Linked DNA regions of Astyanax mexicanus. The protein of the gene in region 3 purifies or fractionates together with the protein of the main gene of each other region. This does not show direct contact. Links are inferred from orthologs where the notes say so. Each region holds a gene or a part of one and is shown on either strand. Other genes may lie near its edges. The genes, in order: usp48, g3bp1 and sirt6.

Region 1 (7,484 bases), on a different chromosome or scaffold from region 3:
GTCACCAACTGTCCTTCATTGAGCACTAATATTTTGGCGATGTTCTGACCCTGTGTCTCAGTCATCTAGATATCAAAAAAATAAAAACTGTCTCTGGATGAAATGGTTCAGATTCATGCTGCAAATACGTATGCTGCCAATATGCTGCAATATCATCTTCAACAACTGACCATTCACTTGCTGCCTAATTTATATCTCCAGCTCTTGAAAGAAGCCACAGGAACCACAGCATCAATGATATTTACTTCACCTCTCAGTGATTCTAATGTTATGGCTGTTTAGGGCAACATAAGTAACATTACATCCACAGGTTTCAGGTGGATTTAGTCACAAGGTAAACATATTTAGATATATGTTTAAATATACACTTTTTAAAATAAATTTCAAAGGACAAATATTTTCATTTTTTTGGATAACGAGTTTGTCTTTATAAGGGTAATATATTAAAATATAAAGTATTCTTCAAATATGTTTAATGTTTTGAGTAATTTAAATGCAGTAAATTAATACAACATTATAATATATAGATTTGTAACTGTATGTATTGTAGTTAGTTGCAAATGATTCTAAATTGTTTGCATGGAATAAAAAAAACTATTTAGATGATATCATTGATTTATTTAAAAATTTGAAAGATATGTAGATATGAAAACATTCCTTTAGACTTAATTTTAGATGTAAATCTCCTGTATAATATACAATATAATATAATATAATATAATAATATGTTAAAAAAAATCTTAAAATAAAAAAATACTTGTTTTATTTTACAAATGAAAAATGTTAAAATGTGAAGGTTTACTTTAAAAATATTATTTTTTTGTTCAGATGTTAATATCATAGAGAAAGAAACAAACCATGCTAAATAATTTGGTAGAACAAAAGCATATTAAGCTAATAAACCGTGTATATTTAGCTAAAAAAAATTGCTATATTAATAATTTCGTACCACAGAAGATTGTTAAGGTCATAAATAAAATCGACTGTACATTTGTTATTTACATTCCCAATATCAAGGATTTTGTACCACATAAAAAGGTGTAACGTTACATTTTACTTTATAAATTTGCAATATACATATTTTTAGACACTTTATTTTGATATTATTAAACTAAAACCACCAGAATTAACGGTACATTCTCTATATAAATTCACAATATTAATTATTTTGTGAGTGCATATATTATATAAAAATATATTTGTGTGCTATTTTAGCTTCTTAAGCTAATTACAGCTAATCACAGTGGCGGGAAAAAAATAAACTCTGAATTAAAGTTGCGCTGCTGTTAAATGTACCATAATAAGTATTTAATTATTATTTTTTATTTAAAGATATTTATGTAGCCTAAATCTAGATATGTGGGTTTTAATTATTATTAAAAAGCCACAATTAACAATTAACTAGGGGTTTTAGAATCAGACTAAACAAAAACTCTCTTTTTGTAAACTTTAACTAATACATGTGGGTGATCCAGGTCCGGTTAATTTAAAATCCATCCCAGGATTTACTTCCAACCGCCGCAAAGGCTCTGCTGCAGCAGAACTGCCCGTGCGTGTTGGAACGAAATTCCGGAACGGATTTATACTTTAGCCAACACCAATAAAGAAATCCTTGATAAATCTCCAAAACTGAGCTTCCATCTTCATACCTGTCTCGATGGCGTGAGCCCTCAGTGCCATTAGGCTGAAAATAAGCAACCAGCCGGGCAGGAGATGAACCCGCGGCCGCTCCGGCTCCCTGCTCATCCCGCTCCTCTGAAGTTCAGCTAAGACTCCAGAACAGGGTCCACGCTCTCCTTCAGCTCCTCCTGAGAACACACTGCTCCATGCTAAACCTCTAAAACTGACCGCATTTCAGTTTATACGGGAGAACTGAGCCAAAAGTGGAGGGGTGAGGTCTTCAGAGGAGGGGCAGCAGAGACCCTGGATGACTCCATTCATTGCCACCATCCTCCATCCTCTTGTTTAAGTGTGTGTGTGTGTGTGTGTGTGTGTGTGAGATCCTGGTTAATAATTTCAAACAACATAGGCCTACCTCTTTTTTTAACCACTAATAATACATATTATCCCAATAAAGCCCATGTGCATATGTGTCACAATTGAAGGATGTGAAAAGTATTCACATGCATTACTCTGTAGGTAGAAGTATATGTACTAAGGTTTAAAATACTTCTTTAAATGCTGAGGTACCAACTCTTAAGCTTTTTTTTTAAAGTGTAAAAGTACTGGTTTCAAAACTATTTTAAAGTATTAAAGTAAATGAAATGTAAGGACAAAAGCTTAGGCAGCACCACAGAGTCCTATAGTGCACTACCCTTCCTCATTAAAACATATTTTCTAAAAAGCCACAATGACTATAATGTTATATTAAAATGTTAATGTTAATAAAGTTGGGATGCACTAGACTACCAAGTGCTTCAGCTGCATATATGTTCATTGAAAATGAATGCATTTTAATACAATGCAAATATATTCAAGTTATATCTTAGTTGTGACATTTCCAGAGCTCGAGTTCTCTTGAGTCTCTCTGCACGGGTCATGTTCATACTAAGCTATATACGTCTGCTATGCTCTTGCTGGAGTGTGGGGGGCGTGACTTGATGTGCAGGTGTGATGGATCACAGTATAAACCAATAGGGAGTCGGAATGGTATATGTTTATACTTCTCTACATCCAACCACAATCAGATTCACTCTATCTGGATGGAGAGATTTATCTGGATAGGGTTTTTTTTTTAATGATAAGAGTCCGGAAATTAAACACAAACCAAAATTAAATAGGAGTAATTAGGCTATTTTTAAAATGTAATGAGTAGATAGTTCAGATAATTATGCAAAAAAATGTAAGGAGTAGAAGTAAGTCTGTACGTTTCTGTAGGAATTCCCCTGTAAGTATATAGAGCTGTGTAAATGTGACTAAGAACTCTTGACTCTCTGCTGACTCACAGGCATTTAACTGACCCCTCATAACCTAAGTTTTAAAGGTAAGTTAAGAGCCTTGTTAAAAGGCTTTATTTTATAGCTGCTTCTTTATTTGTAATTTTGACACTTTCAGCTTGGGGACCTTATCAGCTTAATGAAAACCACTGGGAATATTTGCTTCAACAAATTAATATAAAGACTGCAAGTATAATCGGTTTAAATACAGTGCACTTCAACTGCTTCTGAATTGTTTATTTTAAATTCATTGTGATAATGCATCTTTCTAAATATTTTTGGACAAAACTGAATGTATGTATTTGTATATATATATATATATATATATGTGAACTCACTGAAAAGTTACTTTATTTCAGTAATTCAGTAACTAATTTATTATATAGATACATTACACAAAGTGATCTATTTTAAGTGTTTCTTTCTTTTATTGTGTTGATTATGGCTTACAGCCAATGAAAACCTAAAAGTCAGTATGTCAGAAAATCAGAATATTAAAGACTGTGTATATCTGGACAGAGCATCGTCTCTCAAAAGTGAAGCCACCACAGGTCGGGCGCCCCCTGCTGTTCGGTTTCAGAAAGCTGTGTAACCCCACCCATCCCCATAGGTTTCAATGGCAAAACAGACAACTTTCAATCACGTTTTATTCCAACATACTGCACTTCTACATCCAATATTTAAATGTAACAGCTACTGTAACCTCTGCTTATATTGTCAAATTTTTATATCCCCACAGAATTCGTTTTTTAAAACTTTATTCAGCTCTATTCAAAAAAGGTGTGGTTATTGTAAAAGGGCTGGTTATGGGTAGGACCAATAACAGACCGTCAGCTCCGGTCTGCTCCGCTCTGCAGCCTGAGGCAGCCCTCAGGGGCGGGGTTATTTAAATGAGTAGGCTGTCTCTCCACAGTCTTTCTCCCTCCTCTGGTCTCTACTGCGCAGACTCGGGTTTCAGGATCGCCAACATGGCGGAAGATTTTGGCTTCATTTTCAATGAATGAATGGGAACGGAGACACGACGTCCATCTTTTTTTACAGTCTCTGTATAAGACCAATTGGTACTTTTGGCACTGTGGGCAGTGTGTCAAGTCCTGCTGGAAAAACAAATTTTCAGTGATATTTAACTTTTTTGAGATGCACTAGCAACTATGTACTTTTTTTAGTAATCAAATCTAATTAATCTATCAATAATACTATAATACTATTAACTATATTATTTGCAATATCTGAAATAATGTAAAACAAAATGGTTATTTAGCAAGAAAAGCACTTTTATTACAACATTAGAAAAATTGTTTCATAAATATCAAATCAGTTTGGAGCTCAGTAGCAAAAGCAGAACGAGACTCCCTACCTAGGCTGCCTAGTTAGGTGACGTGTACGCGAATCGGAACGCACCCGCGTCATCGGGCGTCATCGCGTACGCCTCCAACAAGTTTGAAAGTGAGGAAGGTAAAAAAATATATAATTTAAAAACAGAGCGAAGGGCGCTAAATACAAACACCCCCCGAATAAAATGTGAACAGTTCCGTTATTAAAGCAGCTCCACTAACACTGGCTTCACCACAAAAACAAGCGCAGGTTCGGAATCGCTTTTTTATTTTACTGCGGCTCTGCTAGCTTAGCTAGTTTAGCAGCGCAGCAGCTATTTTGTTGGCTTTTTAAGCTAAGCTAAGCTAGGCTAGGCTAGGCTAAGCTAAGCTACTGCGCAGCACAATATAGCTCGATACAGTACTGGGACTGGGTAGCTTTAGCTGATGCTAACGCTAGAATAGCAGGCGAATAAACAGATAAATACATGAGCTGGGATAGTACTGCTGTTTTTTCATTAGGTAGGTAATAAAGTTGTAGGTTGGCTTGTTAATTAGCTAGTTAGTTATAAGTTTTGACTGAATAAATTATTAAACAAATATCAGCATCTTTCTGTCGCAGCTATGCTATGCTAAGCTAACTAAGCCAATGGAGTTGATCTGATAAGGTAGATGGTCTGTTTACCGGCTGGCTGTAGCTGTAGCTAATGGAGTTACAGCTACAGTAGTTAACTGGCTAATGCATCAGCATCACAGAGTTCAGTTCACTATGTTTCTCTCTGTTTTTCTGTGTTTCTCTGCGTTTTTTGTCTTTCTGTTTCACTCTTTCTGTTTCTCTGTCTCTTTATGCGTGTTTCTGTTTCTCTGTGTTTTTCTGTTTCCCTGTGTTTTTATGTTTCCCTGTGTTTCACCCTGTTTCTCTGTGTTTCTCTCTTCTCTGTTTTATTTTCTGCCTTTCTTTTTCTCTCTGTTTTCTGTGTTTCTATTCGCCTGTGTTTCTCTGCATTTTACTGTTCCTCACTGTTTCTCTGCGTTTTTTGTTTCTCTGTTTCTGTTATTCTCTGTGTTTCTCTGTTTCTGTTATTCTCTGTGTTTCTCTCAAAGTTTTTCTGTTTCTTTGCACTTGTCAGTATTTCTATGTATTTCTCTGTGTTTCTCTGTTTTAGTGCTTTTTCTCTGTGTTACTCTGCATTTCTCTCAGTGTTTTTCTCTGTTTCTCTGCATTTTTCTGTTTCTCCATGCTTCTCTTTGCTTTTCTGTGTTTCTATGTGTTTCACTTGTTTCTCCCGGTTTCTCTGCGTTTCTTACTGCTTCTCTGCATTTCTCTGTTTCTCTTCTGTTTTTTGTGTTTCTTTAAGTTTCTGTGTTACTCTGCATTTCTCTCAGTGTTTTTGTCTGCGTTTCTCTGTGTTTCTTTCAGTATTTTTCTCTGCGTTTTTTTATTGTTTCTCTTTGCTTTTCATGGTTTCTGTGCGAATTATTTGCTAGCTCTCTAATGGTCTGTTCATGCTCTGTTTAGGTAAATAAAACTCACTCTCCTCTTGTTTTGTTTATTTCTTTGTAGGATGGCTCCTCGTATACAGCTGGAAAAAGCTGCCTGGAGATGGGTTGATTCAGTGAGACCAGAGGACATCACACAGGAACATATCGACTTAGCTTACAGGATCGCTGTATCCGCATGTAAAAGGGGAACATGCCGGTGGGTTAAGTTGCTGATTTTACTTATCAGGGTATAGGTTATAGGTGTAGGTATAGGTTATTTACTCATTAAAATCACAGAGAGCTGTCAGCAGACCCCGTTGACAAAAGTAACCTACAAGTACTAGTCGGAAGACCTACCCTTCTTCTAATTCAATGTGTTTTCTTACTTTTTATGATTTTCTACATTTTTCATTTAATATTAAACATATTAAAGCTATGAAGGAATGCATGTAAAATTATAAATTATTATTTATATTAGTCTAAGTGTTCTGCTGTCGTTCCCAGTCTCTTCCACTGTGTTATAATATCACTGACCATTGGCTGTGAAATATTTAGTCGTGAGGATATTTCATGACTGAACTGTTACCGTAATAGGATGCAGCACCTGTGCAACAAGTTCACTGAGCTCTTGAGAGCGACCCATTTTTTCACTAATGTTTTTAGAAGAAGGCGCTATAATAGTGCAATTTTGATTCTGTTCTGACACACAGGAGGAACTGCAAAGGGAACCCCAACTGTTTAGTTGGAATCGGGGAACATTTGTGGTTGGGGGAAATTGATGAAAATACCTTCCACAACATTGATGACCCAAACTCTGAGCGAAGAGACAAGGTATGACCACAAATATATAGACGTGTATAAAGGAATTTCTCTTGTTATAGGTGTGGAACATGGGCATCATTTTAAGGCTTTCAGTATGCAGCAAATATTTAGCAAACAAAATTATTTGCCAAAAAAAAATGCCAAAAATTCTCTTTCTGTCAATGCAGCAAACATGTCGGCAGTATTGACCCTTTTTTTAAGGTTAAGAAAGATTGAGAAAAGTGGCAAACTGAATGCAAAACCTTGCAAAAGTGTTTCATTTTAATCTGTTCCATTTTTGACCAAAAATATGCGTTGAAAATGGAATAAAATTAATACAGAAAAGATATCCTATACAAACTGTATGTCAAAGTGTATACTGTACATTGATATATTATAGAATGCACATTTGCTAGTGTTTTGGTTTAGTCTTTAAAAAAAAATCCTGCTCTTGATTGACCCTAAAAGTCTTTTAGTGGCCTTGAATACTAATGATGTCTTTATAAACACAGTCTGGAAGTTTTGTAAGGAGTTAAGGGGGATTCCGGTTAGTCACATTTACAGAAGGGGGTGGAATTGAATGGGTGTCGTGCCTCAGCTTTTGTGCTTAAACTCTTTGTGTGTCTTTGTGAACGTCACTGGTTCAGCAGTGCTTTACTGGAACTCTGCTTGGGGAAAATTAATAGGCGGTGTGTCATGGCAGCTTAGAGCTTTTTTACACCTTACATTAACATGTATCTCATGTCTCATTGTACTGTGCCCATCTTTATATGTTTTAGACGATACAGCATTAATTATATATTTTTTTTGCTCTGCATTTAGAACACTTTTGTGGGCCTGACAAATCTTGGTGCCACGTGTTATGTAAACACCTTCCTCCAGGTGTGGTTCCACAACCTGGAGCTGCGCAGGATGCTCTACATGTGTCAGAATTCCAGGGCTGAAGGGCACA
Region 2 (7,849 bases), on a different chromosome or scaffold from region 3:
AAGTCCAAAGATAAACAATGCCATCTGTGATGCACTGAGCTGGCCTACGTTAAAGACCCTTTAAATAATGTTCCAGTGACTCACCCTCAGGAGGTTCAGAGTCCGAGTCCCCAAAGACCTCATCTTGATAGCGGAAAATGTCATTGTGTACGTAAAACTTGTTTGCGACAGTACCCTGAAATAGAATCACAAATTAATCAGAATATTCAATCCAGCAACTACCGTTACATATTCATAATGGCCAAAAATATTAAAATAAAGCTTAACTTTTCTATTTTGGCCACAATCTGTTCTACAGTGTGGACTTGCAAACAACTGTAACTGTACTATTTTTGGAAATAATTGCTGACAATCTGAAATACTAGCCAGATGTACATACCTCAGGGGCCAACACAAAGGTTTGCATGAATTTCCTCATAGGCTGCATGTTGTTGGACAGTTCTCCCATCACCTGCACCACCACGCCCTCATTCAGGGTTGCATGGGCATCGACGTGCCTGATTTTAGTGTGGCAGTCACGGAAGCTCAGTGCCATCACTTTTTTGTGAATCTCCTGTTTAGCAATGGAACAAATAAGTCAATCATACAGAAATGTAAACTTTGAATTTGAGAAAGAACAGTCACATTTTCTTTCACTTACAGACTGTCCATACACTGCCTCAGCTGGCTTCCCATTGGTATCCAGTCCTCCGTGCACATAAGAAGAGTTTTTGCCATAAAACCTAAGGATTAAGACAAATAAGCATTCCATTTTCTTTGAACACTAAAACAAACTGTGCATCTGTACATAAAATAAAAAGTTAAAGCACGTAAAATCACCTGTGCAGGTAGTCAGGAGCCTGGTTCAGAAGAGTGTAGTACTGTCGGACAAACTCTCGCCCGACAAGCTGGGCACTTGGCTTCTCCATCACCATTTCTTTGGTCAACTGGTTTCAACTGAAAGAGATTAAGAGAAAATATTACCACTCCAGTATCTAAGATACCCAGAACACACACCAAGAAAAGAAAATATTGAAAATGGCTCCCTATTACAAGAAAAGTGCACCAAACATTTTGTAGTGCTGTTTGAAATCCCACAAAGTACATTTTATTCTGTATGTAATTCACCATCAAATACCCACAATGGATCAGAGTGGTGTTTTGTCCGAGGTCCTTTGAGCAGACGTTTGTTTGTTTCCTAAATTAATTCACTACACAGCAAGTGATATATAGTGAATGAGGCATTGCTCAGTCTACCACTTACTTCTACTACTGATAATGTGCAATAAACTGTTTTACTTATTACTGTTCTACTATGTGCAATAACTCAATTCAGCATGTGTAACATGATCTGCTTACCATCACTATGTGCAATAAAATCACTTATTGCACTGTCCACTGCTTGCCACAACACATACACACTGTTAGGGCTGGGGGGTTAATCGAATTAATTTGATTGTTGAATTACTGTTTTGAAACAATTTTCAAAATAGGATATTCAAGATCTTAAATCTTTAAAAAATATCTAAATAAAACAATCAAGTTATGTAAGAAATACAAACCTAAATCGTAAATCTCATATTTGAAGAATATCAATATTTTATACTAGGAAATCACACTTACAGAAATCGTAAATTTTCTAGATTCATATATATTTTTTGAACATAGACTTTTAAATGTGTGTATTTTGCTTTATTTTCTGTCATGTCACATGTGCTGCTGCAATATTCCGAATTTATATATTAATCCTCCGGTGAGGGAATAATATAGAATAATTTTATTAATTTACTAGCTGTTTTATTACCTGTATAAACAAAACCTCGGTTAGCTGAGCTTATCAAGACTGCGGTACTAGGATTTCCCGGAGATCAAATAATTAGCCGTTTGTTTCCAAGCACGTTTCTATCAGTAAAGCTGGTTTCAAGCAGTAGCAGCGGAAGGCACACCCTTTCAGCCCCCGTTAGCTAGCCTCAGATGCGAACGTGAGACGCTGCTAGCTCGCTTGCTAACCAGGCCCATGTGATTAAGCCACGCTCAGTGATGCCTCGTTGCCAGTTTGAGCCAGCCAGGCTTTGTTAAAGCTAACGTTACCTGCCTAGCTGAGTTAGGTTAACTAGCTAGCTATCTGTGAAAAATGAGACGTATATGGTCATCCCTCCAGAGCTTTATAAACACAGTGGAAACTGACGACCAATTTGACTCAATTTTTTAAAGCTATACCTATAAAGGCATACTCAGAAATAAGCACGTGCTCACCATTATTCCAGATTAGCCAAGATAGCTGTGGTTAGCTAACCGGGCGCTGTGCCCTAGAACACCAGGCACGTACAATTACTAAAAAAGTATTATTGATTTTAACAGTCAGAATAATTAAAATACCACAATAATCAACCCACTAACTTAAGATACACATTTAAGTCACTTCTAATAGTCTTGTTAGCGTTATTCACACTCACCCGGCTAGCCGGAAACCTCGCTAGCTACGTTAGCTAGCTTTAGCTAAGCTATCTGATAGGATACCTGATTGAATTACAATAGCCTTATCTTAGCATACAAGCTAACTAGCTAGTTAGCTAGCGAGCGAGCTAACTGACTAATTCTGCTACACTCTACCCACAGCCAACGCTAGCTAATGTCATTATACTCAAATATATCGTATTTTCTCAGAGTAACGTGACAAAGTTAAAATGAAATCATTAAGAGAGGGAGGGTAACGTTAGCGTTAGCTATGTAACCTAGCTACAGTCCATAAGCCCCCATTATACCCAAGCCGCTAAGCTAACAAGCTAAATAAACTATTTAACTAACTATCGAACCCGCTCGACCAAACAAAAACCTTTTCCCGCACGATAAAACAGTATTGTTGTAATTTGTAAATCGTAATATTCAGGCCGCTCACCAGGAGGGGGAGGCTCTAGTTTCAGTGTAGAAATGTCCAGCGGCTTTATGTAATCGCCTCCTGCGCCTGGTGGAGTGAGAATGGCAGCGCTTGCTTAGCCGGTTTCAAATTCGCTTCAACTGCGGCTGCGGCGGAGAGGCATGCGATTAACCCAGGCCAATAGACTCCCAGCACGGTGCCCATCCAACCAATCAGCAGCCGAGCGAAGAGAGGCGCCCCACAATCACCCAATCAAAACAGAGCTCGCTAATTTACCACACACCAGCCACACACCGTGGTGTTCGGGTATGGTCAGGTTTAATAGGCTAATCCTGAAGGTGGGGTTTGACAACCTGACTGCTGAATGGTTGCTCGATTGATTGATTAAATCGATATAATTTTACAGTACAAATATGTATAATGTACTGTAAAAGAAAATGTTATTAAACATAAGATAAAATACACCTCTGAAAAAAATTAAAAGACCACTTCAGTTTCTGAATCAGTTTTTCTAATTTTCCTATTTATAGGTATATGTTTGAGTATAATGAACATTGTTGTTTTATTTTTCAAACTACGGGCAACCTTTCTCTCAAATTTCAAATAAAAGTATTGTCATTTAGAGCATGTATTTGCAGAAAATGGGAAAATGGCTGAAATAACAAAAAAATGCAGAGCTTTCAGGCCTCAAATAATGCAAAGAAAATAACCATTAAAATGGTTTTTAATCACAGTTTTTATACATTTTGGCATGTTCTCCTCCACCAGTCTTACACATTGCTTTTGAATAACTTTATGCCATTCCTGGTGCAAAAATTCAAGCAGTTCAGCTTGGTTTGATGGCTTGTGATCATCCATCTTCCTCTTGATTATATTCCAGAGGTTTTAAAGTTTTTTTAAAGGGTCTCTTACAGAGTCTCTTACAGAGCTGTAGAATAGGTACACTGTATGCTATACAGTACTATAATCTAAAAATCAGTATTATATTATCATATACAAGATTTGAGAATAAACAACATACTAAAATGTAAACGCAATAAGATACTGTTTAACTTGCTTAAATAATGTTATATGTTTTTATCTGTTTTTGGATTAGTTTAGATCAGGGGTCACCAACATGGTGCCCGCGGGCACCAGGTAGCCCGCAAGGACCTTATGAGTAGCCCGCAGGCCTGGTCTAAAAATAGCATTTTTGTTGCTATTCTTTTTTTTTTTAAATCACAGTTGCATTGATGTAATTTTAGATTATATTACATTAATATTAGCTTAGAGATAGCCTATAGTTTATATATTATTATACAATATAATGTAATATAATATGTAATATTATATTAAAATATAATATAAAATGTAAACACTTGCAGAGATTTATAATAATAGTGTTGCCTATTGATATCTGTGTCTTCACATAGATGAATGTCATTAATTATTAATAATAACATATAATTAAAGGTAAATTGAGAAAATTTGTAATTTCACGAGTGTGTATCAAACTGGTAGCCCTTCGCATTAATTGGTACCCAAGAAGTAGCTCTCAGGTTCAAAAAGGTTGGTGACCCCTGGTTTAGATTGTGTGATGGTGAAATATAGAATCTTATTTAATTTGTGTCCAAGATACAGAAATGAACACAGATTCAACATATTATCAGAGAATATAATATTAAAAGTAATATATTATAATATATATGACCTTTTCAGTTATTATTAAATACATTAATATATATATTAATTTTTAATTAGAAAGTAAAATGAATGAAAACTCAAAATATTATCTCCACACTTAAATAAGGCCAAAAATATATTGCCTTTATTTTTACCCCTAATAATATATAAATATACAAATATATTCCTTTACTGTCATTGCACAAAGTACAACAGAATTAAATAGCAAACCCATTGGTATTCATACATACCAGATGAAAATAAAAATAGAACAAATAAAATAATGTAACATTATAAAGAATGAAGAAACTAGAATACAGAGATACAGAGAATACCTACAGGTATTTATAAATACAAACAGGTGATGTCAAGGATGGGATAGGGCTTTCAGTATGTCGGCTACTTTGCTGATGCAGCGAGAGCTGAAAAGATCCTCTAAGGAGGACAGTGAGCAACCAATGATCTTTTGTGCTGTGGTGATGATCCTCTGAAGAGCTCTCTTGTCTGCCGCTGAGCAGTTTCCACCCCACACCGAGATGCCAGCACATTCTTCATGGAACAGTGGTAGAAAATCACCAGTAGCTTCTTCTATATTTACTATATGTTATTCAGCATTAACACTGCAAAAAAATAAAGTGCATTTTTATAGATTATAGGTAAGATTTTCAGAGAAAGACCTAAAGGCAGCACTACTACCCAATATTATAGTCCTAATATTTATTACAACACTTGTGTAGGATTCTTTTCTATTAGAATTATTTATCTGTAGGTCATGTTTAAGTAATACACACAAAGTGAATGTTTTACTATATTTAGTCACTTATTTTGAACACTATAGGAAAGTACATGAGCCAATCCTGATCACTCAGGCAGGCAGTTATCTCCAGTCATATGAAACCAACCCTTTTTTTTTTTTTACATTTTTTACACCACTGATAAAATATGTGTAGCAAATCATAAACAATTTGTAGTGTTTGGCTCAATATATCATAAAAAAAAAAACATTTATCATGGTTGCTGCCCTTGCTCAGGTCTCCACACTGAGGGCGAATGATGACCCAACCCTCCCCTGCTCACAGCTTAACCAGCAAATTGATTGGGTCTTTGTGTTGAAGGGCAGGATTTTATGTTTTGATAAACACCATGATGAGCATTGCGAGAATTCACGATCATTATTTAAACAGTAGCCTGACTATAGTAATACTGAGTAGGCTGTTTTTTTTTTGTTCTTCGTGATATGGATTCCACAAGATGCTGGAAACACTTGAAGATTCTGGTCCAGATTTCTAAGGAGCAACATCATAATGTAAATCTCCTGTTCTCAAGGTGTGATTAGGTAATGAATGAAATCCTGTTGCAAAGAGCATACTGAGACATAACAACATAACAACAAACTTACATGTGACACTGCACCATCTATAACACAGGGTACACACGTCACTGTTCCTCTTGAGATCCTTTTCACATTTACAAACAATACGTAACTAGGCTCAATCCCATTCAATAGTGGGTTTCACTGTATTTAGATCTGGTAGGTTGGATCTGGTCATGTTGTATACTCAGGAGACCACCGGATAAGTAGTTGTTTGGGATACAATAGCCTTTTGTAATACAGAACCAGTCTGGCAACTTCACAGACCTCTCTTATCAGCAGGGCCTTTATATCTGAAGAACTGCTAATCACAGGATGTTTAGACTTTAATATACTTTTCTAAGTAACTCTAAGATACTGTTGTGTAGAAAATCCCAAGAGATCAGCATTTCTACAAGTACTCAAACCTGCACATCTGACCCCAGCTACCATGCTTTGAATGTTATGAATGTTAAACTTCACTTTAAGCTACTTTTTTGGATGGCTCTGGGTGGTTTAGCGAACTTAGGCGCTGTCACTATGATCTGAGGATTGGCAGTTTGAATCTCGGGTCATGCTGCTTGCCATCAGCAGCCGGAGTCTGAGAGAGTACAATTGGCCTTGCTCTCTGTGGGTGGTTAGACAGCGTGCTCTCTTCACACATCTCTCCAAGAGTAATGTTAGTTGGCACAGGCATCTGCGAGCTGATTTATCAGAGCCGGGTCGCTGCGCTTTCCTCTGAGTGCACCGACTACCTGGTAATGCTGCATCAGTGGCAGCTGAAAAATAGACAGTGGCTGACTTCACTTGTATCGGAGGAGGCATGTGCTAGTCTTCACAATCCTAGTGCTGGAGGAGTACTACAGTTTTCTTTGATGTGGGGGTGTTCTTGGTTAAGTTAGAAGAATAATTGTTTTAAGGGGTTATATAACAGATTTAATAATAAACGTTATTATATTTATGTTTTTTAATATAATCTGAGTGTTTTAATGACTCATTGAACTATTTTTATATAAAAAAATTCAAGCTATTTAAACATATCCCAATAATTCCCTGTGCACACTGTCATTAAAAAAACAACCTTTAATATCAGTGACAACAACAACCTTCACACTGTTTTCTTTTCAAGGGATTGAAGACCCTGCTGCATAGTCAGTAATTATTAATACTAATTTCACCTAATATTTTTTTATACTGTCTCCATGTTTAGCTATGGTAAATATAAAAATGTCCACCCTGACATGGTATATCACGGTTATTCAAATATTTTTAGCAAATGCTGGGATTTTCAAAATGTTTTCACCCTTTCATTGAAGCATGCATGCAGAAAATAAAAAAGTAAAAATAAAAGTAATTATGCTGGCATTATAGGATTTCTGTGTTGTGAAAAATCTGATATGATAGTCAATTTAATAATATAATATTCAAAGAAATATAAATAGTTAAAAGAATTCTTAATAACTCGTTTTTTTTATATGAGACATTAAAAACACAGTAGTAAAATTATGACCCTGATATGAAAATTACCTGCTGCCTTTTATTTGCATGCATTAATTTACATTATTCTACTGCTGCTAAATGATTAATTAGATAAGATCAGCTGCACGAATGAGTAGGTGTACAAGTGTTCATAGTAAAGTGCTTGTTGAGTGTAAAAGCAAGCTTTTACTATCCCAGTGTTTCTAAATCCTCTCCTAGAAACCCACAGTCCTGCACAGCCTTATCTCTACCCTGCCTCTCTACACCTGATCCAGCTCTAAAAGGTCTGATAATCATTTGATGAGGTGTATCAGGTTCACTCAGACAAGGAACAGCTGAAACTGTGCAGTACAGCAGGTTCCCTGAAGCAGGATTAAGAAACAATGGGTTATGCAATGCTTAAGGTGTATAAGCACAGCTATGCCCTATAATGCTATAATATAACAGTGTGATTAGAATAAGTGATGAAGAGAGCACAGCACAAACTCATGTCAAATAAA
Region 3 (7,173 bases):
ATTTTTCCACCTTACAACCGCAAACATTAAGAGATGGACCACAACACAAAGCAGGACATTGGCGGGGCCATTCTAACACATGAATATTTGTATTTAAATCATCCCAGTGTAGCTATGGTTGTATGTTAAGGGTCATTGTCTTGTCTAAAGGTGAATCTCCTTCCCGGTCTCAAGTCTTTTGCAGCCTCCAACAGGTTTTCTCACCGGATTGCCCTGTACTTAACTCCATTCATCTTCCCATTAACTCTGACCAGCTTCCCTGTCACTGCTGAAGAAAAGTATCCCCACAGAATGAAGCTGTTATTTTTTTCTCCATACACAGTAGGGGTGGGCAATATTATATTGTATACAATATATCGTGACACAGAAATATCATGATATTAAAAATCCATATCATGATAATAGGGCTGTTCTGTCTTAAAAGTAGTCTATTATTTACTGTGAAGCTTTAGGTGTATTTATTGTATAATTGTTTTAGTTTGCAGTTTATATGCATGCACTAAATATTCTGCAATATTTTTTGCTGCATTATATTATTTTATGCTATATTATATATTTTGCCACATTATGATTATACTGTTATACTATTATACTATATTCCTGAAATGAATGAATTATTTATGTTTTCCTATATCGCCAAGTATATCGTTATCGCAAAAATACCCTGATATATCGTGATATTATTTTAGAGCCATATCGCCAACCCCTAATACACAGCACATTGCATTTAGACCATGTCAAATTTCTTTTTGATTAAAATTTCGAAAACCATGCATCATTTTCGTTTCACTGCTTTGTGTAGGTCTATCACTTAAAATCTCACTATAATATAGTTCATGGTTTTAAGGTGACAAAAGGTAAAAATGTTCAAGGGGTATGAATACTTTAGCAAACCACTACTGCCTGGAGGTGTATTGAGTATTTTTTTTTAAATGTCAAAATATCAAAAATAACATCCTGTACTGTAAAAACATATTTAAACTGGACCCTATATTGGGAACCTTTATTTACCAAAGGATAACATACTAACAAAAAAATCAAAGCAGCAAGTTACGTTCTTTGAAACTTTCTAACTTCTGATCTAACTGCATGTGGAGGAAAAGGAGTGTGAATCTGACTGTTACCTGAAATCAGGAATCCCTGCAGAAGTGCTGATTCCTGCTCCGGAGTGCACCACCATGTACTGAGAATCTCTGATCAGCTGCGCCAACGTCTCCACTTTAGCTTTCAAATCCTCTGCGCTATCAAACTCCTGCAAAAGAGAGAAAGTATTTAAATGTGGCCGATCATCAGGAGATACTGTGGCTCTATGACGTACTGCTTATTTCTGCATTTGGTCTTTTCTATTAGCAAATGAACAATCTGCTCAATGGTGTTTTCAACTGTAAAAAAAAAATATCACTGGCCAACTGCATATCTAATTACAAAGAAAGCGTAGTTAATTATGTTAACTGTATTTGTGGAATACAAACAATTTCTATTCTTCACAGTATGGATTCATAGAAAGAGCCAGAATGTCAACTCTGTTTAAGTTTTATTTATTCAGGATTTTTTTTTTATACAATTGCCAAATCTAAATATTTAACGTTACCTGGATATTACAGATATTATTTTATCCAAGTGTTTACAGCTGTGAACACTTCTGAAACACTTCTTCAGCTTTAAATCCCACAAACTAATTTACATTTTAGCTAAAGGACCAAAACACAGTCCGACTGTCTTAACAGTAAAAGTAAGCTGATGCCATTAAGGAAATGTTTGTCTTTCTGGATATATATCTGGCTATGTTTGGATGGTCCTGAACAAATACCTTGTCTTCAGGGAATATCACTTGTTGCACAAAGCTCTGCATGTATTCATCTACTACTGTATTAATATTTGATAATTAAAAAAAGGGAAAACAGTTTTTATTATTACATTTATATATATAAAAAAATTGATGTCCTAAAGTACAGCAGGAAGTGTCAAACATAAACATTAGCGTAAAACTGGAAATAAAAGCATTCGAAAATACGACTGACTGCAGAACAGCCTGACCACAGGATAACTTCACCATGGCACACCTACACTCTGGAAATAAGGTGAGGTGAACAAACACACATTCACACACTGTTCTATAATAAAAAGTAATTCTCAGGATGTTTAGCATATGTCACTCAGAAACTTCATGATTTAAAATAAAGGATAAAGCGCTGTAATTAGTATATTTTACATACACATATGTTAAAGGGTCTGTGACACACAACTACACCACCATGGGCTCTTTTGGGTTCAGTATAGCTGCCATATTTTATTAGAACTACCTTTTGGCAACTAACGTTACCGGCAAATGAACAGAGACTCTTATTATGGTCGGGTTTTCTGTTATATGGGCTCTTTAAATGCAAAATACATTAACTTATCTTGTTTTATACAGACTGCTTAACAAGCAGGGTATGCTTATGCCAAGCTTACATGCTGTAACGTTAGTGTTTTCTACTAAACCTTCTTGCTAACTTGTTAGCTAACCTAGCTTAGCTTACTAGCATCAACGAATGCAGCTCTTAGTTTAACGTCAACTATCTCAGGTAAAGCTACCTGACTTTATTTAACGTTAGTCACTAGTTAGCTATGTAGGCTAAGCTAGCCTTCATTTAAAAACAAAGCTTTACTGTAGCTAGTAACGTTACATAAAAAACAGTAATAAACATAATAATTATTTAGTAAATGTCATTTTTCAACGAAGTGTCTGACAAGAACCTTCACACACCGGTACAACAAAGCTTAGCTAAACTAGCTAACCAAGGTAGGCTAGTTAGCTTAGCTAAGCAGTAAACAGTGCAGCAGCAGCAGCGGCGGCGGCTTTAGCTACCGTTAGCGTTATTTACCTCAGGCAGCCCGCAGATTCCTTTATCCGCATACGGAGATAACCCCGCGGCGTAGTTAACAGACATGCTGAGCGCTGAGACTGCTGGCCTGCTTAAAAAGCGGGTGAATCGCAGAAAAATCGCCCTTAGATTTAAAATCCCGCGGACTTTTCTCTGCAGCCGGACTCTATTGGGCTCCAGTCGTGCTGTTTCTCCACACTACGTCATACAAAACATGTGCACTACTGTGCAGTTCGTGTGAAACAACGTCACACGTGCGGAACACCGACTCCATACAACAAAAAGATAGATAGATAGATAGATAGATAGATAGATAGATAGATAGATAGATAGATAGATAGATAGATAGATAGATAGATAGATAGATAGTAGGGGTGGGCGATATGGCTCTAAAATAATATCACGATATTTCAGGGTATAGTAATATCATATTCATATAGTATAAGAGTATAACAGTGTAATCATAATGTGGCAAAAAAATAATATAGCATAAAATAATATAATGCAGCAAATAATATTGCAGAATATTTAGTGCATGTAAGTAAAAGAAACACATTTTAAGATTATTCATAACATTTATTAATGTTTCTCTGTGTTAATTAATTACTGTGATGAGAGCATTATTTGTATCTTTTGGGAAACTAAAGCATTCTAAGGAATGTACTTACATTAAATAGAATATGTCATAAAAAGGCTTAGAATAGTTAACAATCAAAAAAATACTACATTTCTTAAAAAAACAGTTCTGAGGAAAGTTTTGTGCGTATTGTTTATTTTTTATATACATATTTGTTTATGTTTATGTACAATTTAGTGCACAACAAATACAACAATCCCACAGTGTATTTATTTACCTTTGTTTGAAAAACACAGAAACTTGACTAAATTCATTTAATTATGATGTGTGGTCCTATTTGTAATTTTTTATTGCTAATTTACTGAAGTTTTACAATTTCCAGTATAATGAATTATAACGCAAAGTAGTGAAAGTGGTTTTTATATTGGAGCATATGACTTAGCATTAATCTACGGTTTTTGGGGTGTGTGTGAGCGCGCGAGCACGCGTTGACCTGCAGGGGGCGCGAGAGCTCTATACTTGAGCATCTTTATTTTTTTCTGGTATCTCTTTTATCTCATGTACTACAAACCCAATACACACACACACACACACACACTACTCCTCTCTCCTCCATCAGGTACGGGCCATGCGCGTGACATGTGTCTAGAACAGAAAGTGAGCCCCCACGTTCTGTTATTTATTTAAGTATTTATTTATTTATTTATTTTTATTCCAGCTGTGCTCTTTCTTTTTTGCTTTTCTTCCCCTTGCCTTGCGCGCGCGCACGCGCTCGTTTGCGCCTGCGTATTATACGTGTATGTGTATGTGTGCGTGCGCGCGAGGGTGCCCGCCCGGGTGTGTGTGTGCGCGTGTGCATGAGTGTGTGCGTGTAAGCGCACGCGCGCGCGCCTGCGTGTGTATGTTGTTATTATTATCATCCCGCCTGCCTGCTCCTCACCGCGCCGCTCGCGCTCAGAATGGCCAGATTCACCCAGACTGAAGCGAGAAGGCAGCATCAGCATCAGCAGCAGCTTCAGCATCATCAGCATCAGCAGCTTCAGCACCACCACCTCCACCACCATCAGCATCAGCCTCCTCCACCCCACCACCACCACCAGCCCCAAATCCAGCCCCAGCCTACCCACGCCAGCGCGCTCCTCAGCGGACCGGGGGCAGCACCGAGCCAGCCGCCAGCGCTCGTCCTCGCGCAGCAGCCCCAGTACGCGCAGATCACGTTCGCCAAACCCATGAGCGGCTCCGAGGCCGTGTCCATACACGCGGACGGCGGCACCATGAAAGACCAGGACGCCATAAAGCTCTTCATAGGACAAATCCCGCGCAACCTCGAGGAGAAGGACCTCAAGCCCCTGTTTGAGCAGTTTGGCAAAATCCACGAGCTCACCGTGCTGAAGGACCGCTACACCGGCATGCACAAAGGTAAATGATAAGGATGCTTATAGGGGGTGTGGTGGTGGTTTTTTATCTGTGTATTTTGTGTGAATCTTTGTTTTTTTCTAAATGTTTTTTAAGTGATTTGAGAAATTTGCAATCATTATACCAAATGCACAAGGCTCGTGCGTAAACGATTAGCCAAACGGACTGTTGCTCCGTCCCTCTCTCTCTCATTCTCTCTTTTGATCTTTGTTGATCCCTAAATTTCTCCTCGCTCGTGCACGCTTACACACTTACACACCGATCCACACTTATACAGTAATGAATACATATTACTGTAGGAATGTTACGAAATGAAATCATTTATGTCATTTTATGTCATTAACCTATTAGCCATGATTAGACACGAAAACAGACACTTGATCAGGTACATGTCTTTTTCCTTTTTTTTTAATAAATTCACTTTTACAGCTTTTATACAGTCATTGTGTTTCTATTGTTGTTTTACATTTTTATTTTCTTATTTCTTTTGTGGCCAAAAATCTTTTAATCACAAAAGTTTACCATTACTCTTCAATTTCTTTTTTGTTTTTTATTAATATGCAAAAAATAGTGATGCTTTAAAACAAAATAAAACATGGCTGAAATTGACTAGTTTATCAAATATCAAATACTGAACATGTTTTTTTTTACAGGTTTTGATTCATTTTTGCACAAAATAAATAGCATAAATGTGCAGTTACAAAACTACAATTAAAAAAAGAAAAAAACTTTTACATTTTTTGTCATCATTAACACACAAACAGAGCACAACATGACTTATTTATTTTATATTTAATATTTATATTCCCGATTTGATCATGTCACGATTGTGTTTTTTTTTTTTGCCATTTTTGACCAAATAAATATTCGATGCACTGTCGATCAAAAGACAATTCATATTAAGAATCCATTTTTTTGTTCTTTGTTTGTGTTTGTTACGTTTGTTTTTAAAGCAGGCAGAGAGTCACGAGTCACGATCTGTAACTAACACACTGACTGATAGTGGTGGCTGCGCTCGTGCACGCTCGCGGTCACTCCCACTCCTCACGCACATTTTGCACGGTGTGCGTTCGCGTGTGGGAGCGCGCGTGTGCGTTTGTGCGCGCGCGCGCGCGCGCTCGCTCGCTCGCTCGCTCGCGGAAGTAGGGCAGCCCCGCGCGCACATAATGCATATGATTTAGGAGCCCCCCTCCACCCTCCACACATCACCCTCCCTCCCAAACCCCCCAACCCCCCAGTCTTCTTCATATTTCTATATAGGATGGAGGACTGTTGCATCGAGCGTGCGTGCGCGCGCGCGTGCATGGGCATGGGCGCTCATGCATTTTTGCTGTGTTCTTCTTTTTTTAAGAAATAGCGAATAAACGATGTTCAATTCGAGCATTTTTGTAGGTTTTTGTTTTATATTCTGACATAAAAACATATTTTTCAAGCATAATTTTTATTTTAAATATTTTTGGTCTGTAGTAACAAAAAAACGAGGGTGTATCAGCATGACGCTGTTATTTGAGATGTGTCTCTGTGTGTGTCTATGTGTGTGTGTGTACAAGAATGACACAGGATTATGAAATGAACAATACATCAGTCCATACAGCACTTGTAACCTGTTGTATTTATTTGTCTTGTATTTTGCTTTTTATACTCAGCACAGAAGTAGCAATGAGCTCTATCTATATGGAGGAAACACATCCATTCCATTACATGCTCTGAAGGCACATGCTTGTTACATAATCACTCATTTTAAAGGAGTACTCCAGTGTTTTCCAGCCTAAACTCTGTCTGCAGCATCTGTAACATACAGTCAGCTATGGACACCAATTGCAACATGTTTCCTCTGCGTCATGGCAGAAATATTATATATACACAAAGAAATGCACATAAAAACCATCAAAACTGATATTTATCAGTGGAAAGCTCTGTTAATGACACCCCAACGTATATTTTTCCAAATGTGCTGAGAAATGCTAGAACATCCATGATATCCTCAGAATAGGTACTGTATATTTTGTATGAAACCAACAACAAGATTGATTATGATACAAGATACATATCAGGGCTGATATTAGGGCTGCAAAATGCTGGTAAATATTGACCTGCTATATTTAAACAATAGTACAGGAGAGGGAGTACTATATTGTGTAATATTGGCCACAGGCCAAGTGCCGTAGGTCAGAACAGCAGTGCCAATATTACACGTTATAGCACGAACCTCGAGTGTATTATTGCAATTATACTACAGTTCCATTATCGCTGTTTATTAAAAGATTTTCAGTTAAAGGGGAAGAGAAAATATGATCTGCTTGTTTATAAACA

The links.
Region 1: the proteins of sirt6 (region 3) and usp48 purify together in Homo sapiens (affinity purification with mass spectrometry; 3 studies listed by BioGRID, with this or other methods). This does not show direct contact. The link is inferred for Astyanax mexicanus from reciprocal best matches to the Homo sapiens genes SIRT6 and USP48.
Region 2: the proteins of sirt6 (region 3) and g3bp1 purify together in Homo sapiens (affinity purification with mass spectrometry; 3 studies listed by BioGRID and IntAct, with this or other methods). This does not show direct contact. The link is inferred for Astyanax mexicanus from reciprocal best matches to the Homo sapiens genes SIRT6 and G3BP1.

Annotation. Positions count from the first base shown.
Region 1 is NC_064431.1:28,429,286-28,436,769, forward strand, and holds the start of usp48 (ubiquitin carboxyl-terminal hydrolase 48), read left to right. Parts: upstream 1-4,399; 5' UTR 4,400-4,520; intron 4,521-4,665; exon of another isoform or gene 4,666-4,771; intron 4,772-4,939; exon of another isoform or gene 4,940-5,006; intron 5,007-5,813; 5' UTR 5,814-5,814; coding exon 5,815-5,948; intron 5,949-6,441; coding exon 6,442-6,562; intron 6,563-7,354; coding exon 7,355-7,484. Other genes in the region: ldlrad2 (low-density lipoprotein receptor class A domain-containing protein 2), read right to left, coding at 1,650-1,746.
Region 2 is NC_064417.1:39,196,676-39,204,524, forward strand, and holds the start of g3bp1 (ras GTPase-activating protein-binding protein 1), read right to left. Parts: upstream 3,009-7,849; 5' UTR 2,879-3,008; intron 937-2,878; 5' UTR 915-936; coding exon 820-914; intron 723-819; coding exon 641-722; intron 554-640; coding exon 380-553; intron 176-379; coding exon 85-175; intron 1-84. UniProt on the Homo sapiens protein: Protein involved in various processes, such as stress granule formation and innate immunity. Plays an essential role in stress granule formation.
Region 3 is NC_064411.1:46,344,389-46,351,561, reverse strand, and holds the start of sirt6 (NAD-dependent protein deacetylase sirtuin-6), read right to left. Parts: upstream 3,065-7,173; 5' UTR 2,934-3,064; coding exon 2,868-2,933; intron 1,253-2,867; coding exon 1,125-1,252; intron 1-1,124. Other genes in the region: zgc:165603 (CUGBP Elav-like family member 5), read left to right, coding at 4,404-4,863. UniProt on the Homo sapiens protein: NAD-dependent protein deacetylase, deacylase and mono-ADP-ribosyltransferase that plays an essential role in DNA damage repair, telomere maintenance, metabolic homeostasis, inflammation, tumorigenesis and aging.